Callithrix jacchus: one gene and its partner. The protein of the gene in region 2 purifies or fractionates together with the protein of the main gene of each other region. This does not show direct contact. Links are inferred from orthologs where the notes say so. Each region holds a gene or a part of one and is shown on either strand. Other genes may lie near its edges.

Region 1 (4,340 bases), on a different chromosome or scaffold from region 2:
TAGGAACTGTTAGTCTGATTTATTTAGAAGCCGAAGGAAAAAAAAATCTCTTTTGACAAATACAGAAAGTTTCACAAGTGATTGACACTCTGGTGTGATTATTTCAAGGTATAGTAGTGGTACAATATTCTTCTCTAGGAGTTCATCTTAAAATTATTAGAAAGTCAATGGGGGCTCTGCACAGGGTTCACGCCTGTAATCCTAGCACTTTGAGGGACTGAGGTGGGCGGATCACTTGGGGCCAGGAGTTCCAGACTAGCCTGGTCAACATGGCGAAACCCCATCTCTACTAAAATCAGCGCATGGTGGTGGGCACCTCTAATCCCAGCTACTCGGGAGGCTGAGGCAGGAGGATTCCTTGAACTCAGGAGACGGAAGCTGCAGTGAGCAGAGATGGCACCACTACACTCCAACCTGGGTGAGAGAGTGACATTCTGTCTCAAAAACAAAACAACAAAAAAAGAAAGTCAATGGGAAAAACAGATTCAAATAACACTTTGCCCATAACTTCAAGTCTGCATTCTGATGTTCATAGCAAGGTTAACTGACTCAGCTCATTTCAAACCTGTACAATTCACTTCACATTAGAGCTTGAGAAAGATATTTAAAGTATAAATTTTAAGACACAATAAAATGAATGTTTACTGAAGCCACAAGTAAGCAGTTTGTTTCAGAAAAAGAAAAATACCACTTGCTTGGCACTTCTATTTACAAAAATAAATTCTTCGGTGTTAACCAATAGTTACTTAATACATAAAGGTCTCAGGCAACATTATACCCGTTAAAAACACTATTTTAACTTAACACTATTAGTGCTTCTTTTCTAAGTAAATTTCATGATTTTAAGAATGTCCTAAAATAAGACTAACAAAAAATTGTCCTTTTCTTGTGTATTTCTGCAATATCATGATTTCTAAGCGTTATGGTTAAAAAAAAAAAAGTACAGATTATGTTAAAAATAAATAACCTCGTTACTTCATGGACTTCAAGTGGGAATTTTTAACATGAAAAATATTTAGTCCATCTTATAAAGGATAAATGTGGAAAATTAGACTTTAAAGATGGAGAGATGGAAATGATTCCAGGGGTTAAGACAACAAGGAATATAGTATTTATAAAGTGAAGATCACTTTACAAACTCATGAACGATGTACAAGAAAGAATTGACCACCTGCAGGCGTTATTCTTCGGAAAAGAAAAAACTTTATATTAAAATGGAGAATAATTGTCTGAAAAGTGCTATCATGCGTGAAAACGCACACCCCACCTCATTTCCAGCAAACACGGTTCCCAAACTCAAGACCCGCTCTCGTTTAGGAAAATCAATGCTTTACTTCCAAGAGCGAGTGAAGGCAAAGACCAGTCACCATCTGTTTCCACCAAAGTCAACCTCTATTTTAAAAATCGCAGCTGGCCATCACGCCTACCTCTCCACAAACAAACGCTTGACACATTAAAGAGCCAGTAATTTTTTTTTTTTTCTTTTTTCGGAGACAGGGTCTTGCTCTGTCGCTCAGGCTGGAGTACAGTGGCGCGACTTCAGCTAACTGCAGCCTCCACCTCCTGGATTCAAGCGAACCTCCGGCCTCAACCTCACGAATAGCTGGGATTACTGGCACCCGCCACCATGCCCCACTAATTTATTTTTTATTTTTTTTTTTGTGGAGACAGGGCCTCACTATGTTGACCAGGTTGGTCTCTTAACTCTTGGGCTCAAGCAATCCTCCCGCATTAGCCTCCCGAGTAGCTGTGACCACAGGCGTGAGTCACAGCACTTGTGAGTGATTTTTGAGGTGCCTCGTTCGCCTGACAAAAATTCTACATTAATTAACAAGTTCATTAGTAGGTACGACATTCTGGTTAATTTTAGGTGCATTTTCAGAGACAGCATTGCTCCTTTTCGGACGCCGCTCTCGGTAGCCCACTCGGGACATGCTGGAGTGGCAGGAACTCCCCAGGGGAGCGCAGGCAACCTGACCAACCTCAGGCTCGACTCCGGGGGGCGCGTTTCCCTTTCCGTCCACACCCGAGCCCCCACGCCCGGGATCTGGGCCGCCGGCCGCGGGCGTGGGGCGTGTCAGCGCCGAGGCAGAGGCGCCGGGCGAGGGCAGTCCAACGCTCCGGTCCCTGACCGGCCGGGCCCGCCGCCCGAATGGAGGCCGGGGCTGCAACCCCGCAGGCCCCCGGTGGGCCAAGCCGGGCCGGGAGCGGACGGGCCTGGGACGTGCAGGAAGGAAAGCGGCGGCCGCGGCCCATCCCAGCCCCGCGCTCTCGCACTCCCGCACTCGCCCCCGCGGCGCCCTCACCTTCTCGCACAGCGTCCGCACTTGGTTCTCGTTCAGCTGCTTACACTCGTTCAGCTGCTCGACCCACTGGTCCAGCTCCTTGGTGAACGCCTTGTCGTCCATGGCGGCCCGATCCCGATGCGGATCCCGAGCCCCTGCCCCGCAGCCGCCCTCCCCCCACCCCACCCGCCCCCGGCCCCGGCCCGGGCGCCGCTCCCCTCTCCCTCCGCCGCCGCCGCCAGATCCCACTGGGGGAAGACAGAGCTAGGGAGGGCGGCCGCGGGCCCCGCGCCCCGCCCAAGCCCAGAAGGCGGTTCCGAGCGCGCGGCCTGGAGGAGACCCCCGCCCGCCCTTTCTCGCCTGGCCGCGCGCCGCGCGAATAGGTGAAGGACGCGGGGAGGTGCCGGGGAGCGCGCCGCGGGTTCTCGGCCAACTCCCGCTGGACGAAGGCCGTCCGCCGCCACCTCACACCCGCCGGCCTCTACAGGCTATCTTTCCCCTTCTCTCGCTCTTTCTCTCCCCTCCCTCCAGGTTTCCGTCATCGCTCGGGCATTTCCGCCGGGAAAAGGCGAGCAGGCGGCACCGCCCGCCCACGGCGCACTAGGAGCAGAACAGCGCCCTCGCTTGGCCTGGCGGAGAAACGGTCTGAGGAGGCCGGGGTCCCTCCTCCTTTCTCAACCCTGCCCCAGACCAAGCTCTGCTGGTTCTCCCTTCAGATAGACTGATCTCTGGGAACTTTGTCCTCACTTTAGCTTCCTGCAGTACTTTTTCAGTGCTCTGGACAGGGAATTGGAAAACTTGGGCTCCCCTTAACATTGTTCCCCCCAGAGTCTAGCACTCAATAGCAGGCATTCAATATTGATGGAGTAAATAATTGATTATTTACAGCCGGGTCTGTAGTCCTAACATCTCGAATCCTTCCCTTCAACATTAGAAAAGTGAAATGGTTGTTCTGTAGGATAATCTGTGGCCCTTCCAGCTCTAGCGTTCTTGACTGCGTTTTCTGCAATATGTACTGAGGTTAATGATTTGTTCATTCAACAAATATTTATTGAGACAGAGGAGGGACCCCTTCTTAGGGGCCAGCTAGGCACCCCCCTCCCCAAGTATGGAAAGGAAAATCTTGAGTTCTCTCAAGGGACATTCCCGGCACCTAACTTCCTCGAGAAGTCAATGAGCAACCTGATAAGCAAGAAGGTAATAAAAGCTTAAGGCAGTAACCAAGGACGTTAGATTCACAAAATGTTTGGTTCCTTAAAGAAACTAAAGAGGACGATGTCCCTGAGTTGTTTTTTAGAAACCTGGACCCTCACCAAATGGAAAGTGCTGTCCACTGGCATGGAGACTTCAAACTATCTATCTTTGTTCTAAATTTCTTACTGAGGAGCCTGGAAAAATTCACAAAGCTTTGCCTCCTTAACCAGTTGCAAATCATAAAATCTTTGAATCCATCTATGACCTGTGGGTCCCTGCTTCAGATATCTTGGCTTTTTAGATCAAATTCATGTATAGTCTCCATGTATTGATTTATGACTTTGCCTGTAACCTCTGCCTCCCTGCCTTTAAAAACCCTTACCTGGGCTGGGCACAATGGCTCACGCCTATAATCCCAGCACTTTGGGAGGCTGAGGTGAGTGGATCATCTGAGATCAGGAGTTCAAGACCAGCCTGGCCAACATGGTGAAACCCGTTTCTACTAAAAATACGAAAATTAGCCAGGCATGGTAGCGGGCACCTGTAATAATCCCAGCTACTCGGGAGGTTGAGGCAGAAGAATCACTTGATACTGGAAGGCAGAGGTTGCCCCATGAGCCAAGATCTCACTATTGCACTCCAACCTGGTGACAAGAGTGAAAAAAAAAAAAAAGGAAACACTCGGAAAACCCCCTTACCTGTAAACCATCAGGGAATTGCGGTCTTCAGCATGAGCTGCCTGATTCTTCTTGCTTGGTGCAATGCAATAAATGCCTCACTTTCTCTCACTGCAAGTCCCAATGCCAGTGTTTGGCTTTGCTGTGCTGGTGGGAGGACCTAAATTCAGATAACATGAGCAGC
Region 2 (4,409 bases):
CTCTCGTTGCCCAAGCTGGAGTGCGATGGCACGACTTGGTTCACTCTGCCTCACGGGTTCAAGTTATTCTCCTGCCTCAGGCTGCTGAGTAGCTGGGATTACAGGCATGTGCCACCACACCAGGTTAATTTTGTATTTTTAGAGATGGGGTTTCTCCATGCTGGTCAGGCTGGTCTCGAACCCCTGACCTCAGGTGATCCGCCTGCCTCAGCCTCCCAAAGTGCTGGGACTACAGGTGTGAGGCACCACACCCGGCCTAATTTTTATATGTATGTATGCATTTATTTATTTATTGAGCCAGAGTCTCACTCTATTGCCCAGGCTGGAGTGCAATGGTGCGATCTTGGCCCAATGCAGCCTCTGCCTCCTGGGTTTAAGCAATTCTCTTGCCTCAGCCTCCCGAGTTTCTGGGACTACAGGTGGGTGCCACCATGCCTGGCTAATTTTTGTATTTTTAGTAAAGACGGGTTTCACTGCGTTAGCCAGGGTGGTCTCAATTTCCTGACCTCGTGATCTGCTGACCTTGGCCTCCCAAAGTGCTGGGATTGCAGGCATGAGCCACCGCGCCTGGCCAATTTTTTAATTTTTAATAAGAGGTGGGGTTTTCGCCATGTTGGCCAGGCTGGTCTCGAACTTCTGACCTCAGGTGATCCGCGTGCCTCAGCCTCTCAAAATGCTGGGATTACAGTCACCGTGCCTGCCTGGCTTACATTCTATCTTAATCCTGTTTATACACGTCTGTGATTCACCAGCCTTCGAACTCCTTGTGAATATGAACAGAGTCTTAACCATTAGAGCATTGGCTTGGGCAGGGTGGCAAGTAAGGGATGGATTTCCTGAGACACTCAACAATTTAAGTTGCTTTTCCACTGCGTTCCCAACTGCTCAAACCTACCTTGTTCTCCAATTCCAGTACACTTGCAGTAGGAACGGGGACCCTCTTCATAAAGTTGCACCAAACCAGAGATTTTCATCTCATTTCGCCCAGGTCCTAGCCCTGCCAGGCTTTCCCTTTGCTCCTCTGCAACTCCTGTCTAGGGAGGCGGGTGTCTTGGAAGGTCCTTGGGAGCTTCCGCCACCAATTTTGCATCTGCAATTAGGGCTACTTTACCCCAGTGAAGAAAGGTGCCCTCCGTATTAGGGCTTCCTTCCTCCACTTCGAACTGGGCAGGGTAGCAGAGTGAACAAAGTGTGAAAGCCACTTTAGAAGGAAAGAGCAGAGCTCCCAGCCCCGCAAAGAATGGCCGAGGACGACGCACAGCGGACGCTGAAGTGCAGCACTCCTAGCCAAGCTTGGGTTTTCCCTTAGCCCCGCCTCCTTCGCTAAGCTCGACCCACTTTAGGGCGGGACCACCCACTTCAGCCAATTCTGATAGCAGAACCCTGGCGGTTTGTACTATTTCTTTCCAATGAGAAAAAAAAGGAAGCAGCTTGGCTCCAATGACCAATCCGAGGAGGCGGCGCCTGGTTGTCAGGCAGTTTTGTAGGAGTTCGGGCCAATTGGAGGCGCAGGCACCGCTCGACCCGGGCGCAGCGCGCAGGCGGTGGCGAAGAGACGCCGAACGGGCCGAGTGCGGCCGAGGCAAGCCGGAGCCGGAGCGGGGCCGCAGGAGACGGGCCGGGTCCGGACGGGCCGAGATGCCCTATAAACTGAAAAAGGAGAAGGTGAGCGTGGCCCTTTTTCCCGCACCGCCGCCTTGGAGCCTGCGCGGAGCTCTGGGAGGGGCCAGAGCCAGGCCCGGGACAGCCCCAGACTGACCCTCCCGTCCGGCCCCCGCAGGACTCCTGGGGCCAGCCCTCCGCCCCCGCGGCTGGCAGCACCCCCAGCTTGTGCCGCGGCTAGGACAGCTCCCCATCCTTGCCCCGGAGAGACTCCCCCCACATACGCCTTCCTCCCTTCTTCCCTGCTCTTACCCCCGGCCCAGGGTAACCTCCTTCTTCCAGATTCGCCCCATTCTCAGGTCACTGTCCTGCTTTTTCTGTCCCCCCATCACCCCTGGCCCCGATCTCCCATCGGTTTAGGCAGCCCCTCATCTGAAACTGCACCTCCTTCCAGAATTGCCCCCTCCCCCCGCCCTGAACAGCCCCTTTCCTCCTCTTCCTACCCGCCTGGGACAGCCGCCCCACAGTCCCCTACGGCCCCTTCTCTTTCCATGCCAAGCCCCTGACCTAGAACAGCGCTGCTTTCTCTCTCCTCCACCCAAATCTGGCCTTGGCCCCTCCCTCTAGTTCTTCCTTCACACACAAACTTGTAAGCAGGACTGAGCCCTTATGTTGATGGAACCTCAGAACATCAGTGCTGGAAGGGACCTCTGAGCGCATGCAGTGCAATCCCTAATGGTACAGATGAGGAGACTGAGGTGCCGACAGGGCAAGGGACTTGTCCAAGGTCACACAGCCTGCTAGAGGCCCAGCTGCAATATCGGGTCTCCTGACTTAAAGGCCTCTTTTCTATCAAAGCCCTCCTAACTGGCTCCAGGTACATCCTAGACCAGTCACCTTTCCTAATCTGAGTAGGCTCTTCCCCTTATTCCTAATCCTAGGATAACCTTTGCATTCTTCCTTTTTATTTTTTTGCACCAGTGCTGGATTTCTGCCTTTCCTGAGCTGCACCATCTTCAAATTGGGAATTTGTCCTCCCCGTCAGATTATTATTCCTTCTTAGCCTGCAGGCCAGCTACCCCTGGACACCCATGTCTTTGGTCTTTGTCATGATGTCCTGACACAGGCCATTTCTTTTTCTTTCTTTTTTTTTTTTTTGAGACAGAGTTTTGCTCTTGTTGCCCAGGGTGGAGTGCAACGGCATGATCTCGGCTCACTGCAACCTCCGCCTCCCCAGTTCAAGCAATTCTCCTGCCTCAGCCTCCTGAGTAGCTAGGACTACAGGCGTGTGCCACCATGCCTGGCTAATTTTGTATTTTTAGTAGAGATGGAGTTTCTCCATGTTGGTCAGGCTGGTCTTGAACTCCCGACCTCAGGTGATCTGCCTGCCTCGGCCTCCCAAAGTGCTGGGATTACAGAGGGTAGCCCCCAGCCCTGGCCCACAGGCCATTTCTTAATGGTGCCTTCTTTCACCTTTCTCTTCTACCTCGGTGCCGCCTTCCCCTGTTCCTCATCTGTGCCTTTTTCTACCCTCTGTTTCCTGCTGTTGCTGAGGTCTGACTCAGAGGTGTGGTTCCTTTGAGGTACAGTCTCACAGAGGATGCTAGGATACCAGGTCCAGCCTCCCCCAGCTTCTCCTCTCCTGGGGCTGGCCCTTTATGGTGGGGGCTGGCTCTAGTCTCATGTTCTGGCCTCTTGCTTGATGACCCCAGAGGTATATTCATTTGCCCTCTGATTGACTGGGTTACTGGGCTGCCATCTATGACCTTTTCAAACTTTTTCTTCCAGGGCTGTTCTGTATTTGCCAGGCAGCTCTGATTCTGGGTTGTCCCCTTAACCTTTCAGGGCCTGAGGCACTGAGTACAGGGTTGGTGATGGTGTGCTAGATGGTGAACCTCCTAGGGGTAGTGAGCTGGATAGGGTTGTGTGTCCCACCCAGGCCCTGTCCTTGGGGAGTGGGCATGCAGAGATGGTTTGGGTAGCTTAATTGTAGACAATGCACACACAAATCAGCCACACCAGGGGCTAAGGGAAATGGAATCCAGGGAAAGCTGGTGAGGTCCCCACCCATTTGTAGTTTTTAGTCTGATGGACTATATACTGTCCCATCCACAGAAAACTTTAGCCTACTAGATTGTGAAGAAGAAAACAAATTCCCAGTTAGACTTGTTAGGACCAGGAGTGTAAGCGTTCGGTTGGGAAAGGGTGTTGGAAGGATCAGGGTGCATGGAGCCAGGCATCACTCTCACCTCCCTATAAGGTTTTTCTGCTCTTGATTTTCAGCTGCATTTGGACTTCTTCAGTGGTTGGCAAGCTCTGGGGGGTGGGGGGTTGACAGTGTGACTGAGGTTTGCCTGGATGGGGGTGGGTGGATGATCTTTATTCCTCATCTATCACCTGTCCCCTCTCTCCTGGCCATCTTTTACAGCTTTTTCCCTAAAGTCTTTCTGAGCTGTCAGTCAGGAGTGAGCTCTCCCTTCTCTTCTGGATTTGCAGAACACTTAGTAGGCCACTTATGGTCCTTTTGTGTTTGGCCTTGGATGGGAATTAATTGTGGACAAGCCTTTTCTTCCCTTGAGATAATAACTAAGCTTCGTTTTGGTTTAGCAACTCCTTTTCACACAGTAGGTGCTTAGCGGATAGGTGCTGAGCTAATCTCTTTGAGGAATTCGCATCTCCCCCTTCCTTCTTGTTTTCCTCTGGTACTTAGCTCTTTTATTTTCTTCAGTAGGGTGTCCCTGACTCCTCCGACTTTTTTCTTGTTCATAATAATAGTAATAGCATTGACCAGCATCAGGATTTTCATG

The links.
Region 1: the proteins of PPP2R5D (region 2) and PPP2CB purify together in Homo sapiens (affinity purification with mass spectrometry; 8 studies listed by BioGRID and IntAct, counting the BioPlex papers as one, with this or other methods). This does not show direct contact. The link is inferred for Callithrix jacchus from reciprocal best matches to the Homo sapiens genes PPP2R5D and PPP2CB.

What each region holds. Positions count from the first base shown.
Region 1 is NC_133514.1:31,978,054-31,982,393, forward strand, and holds the start of PPP2CB (serine/threonine-protein phosphatase 2A catalytic subunit beta isoform), read right to left. Parts: upstream 2,823-4,340; 5' UTR 2,409-2,822; coding exon 2,307-2,408; intron 1-2,306.
Region 2 is NC_133505.1:51,474,182-51,478,590, forward strand, and holds the start of PPP2R5D (serine/threonine-protein phosphatase 2A 56 kDa regulatory subunit delta isoform), read left to right. Parts: upstream 1-1,549; 5' UTR 1,550-1,638; coding exon 1,639-1,665; intron 1,666-4,409. UniProt on the Homo sapiens protein: The B regulatory subunit might modulate substrate selectivity and catalytic activity, and might also direct the localization of the catalytic enzyme to a particular subcellular compartment.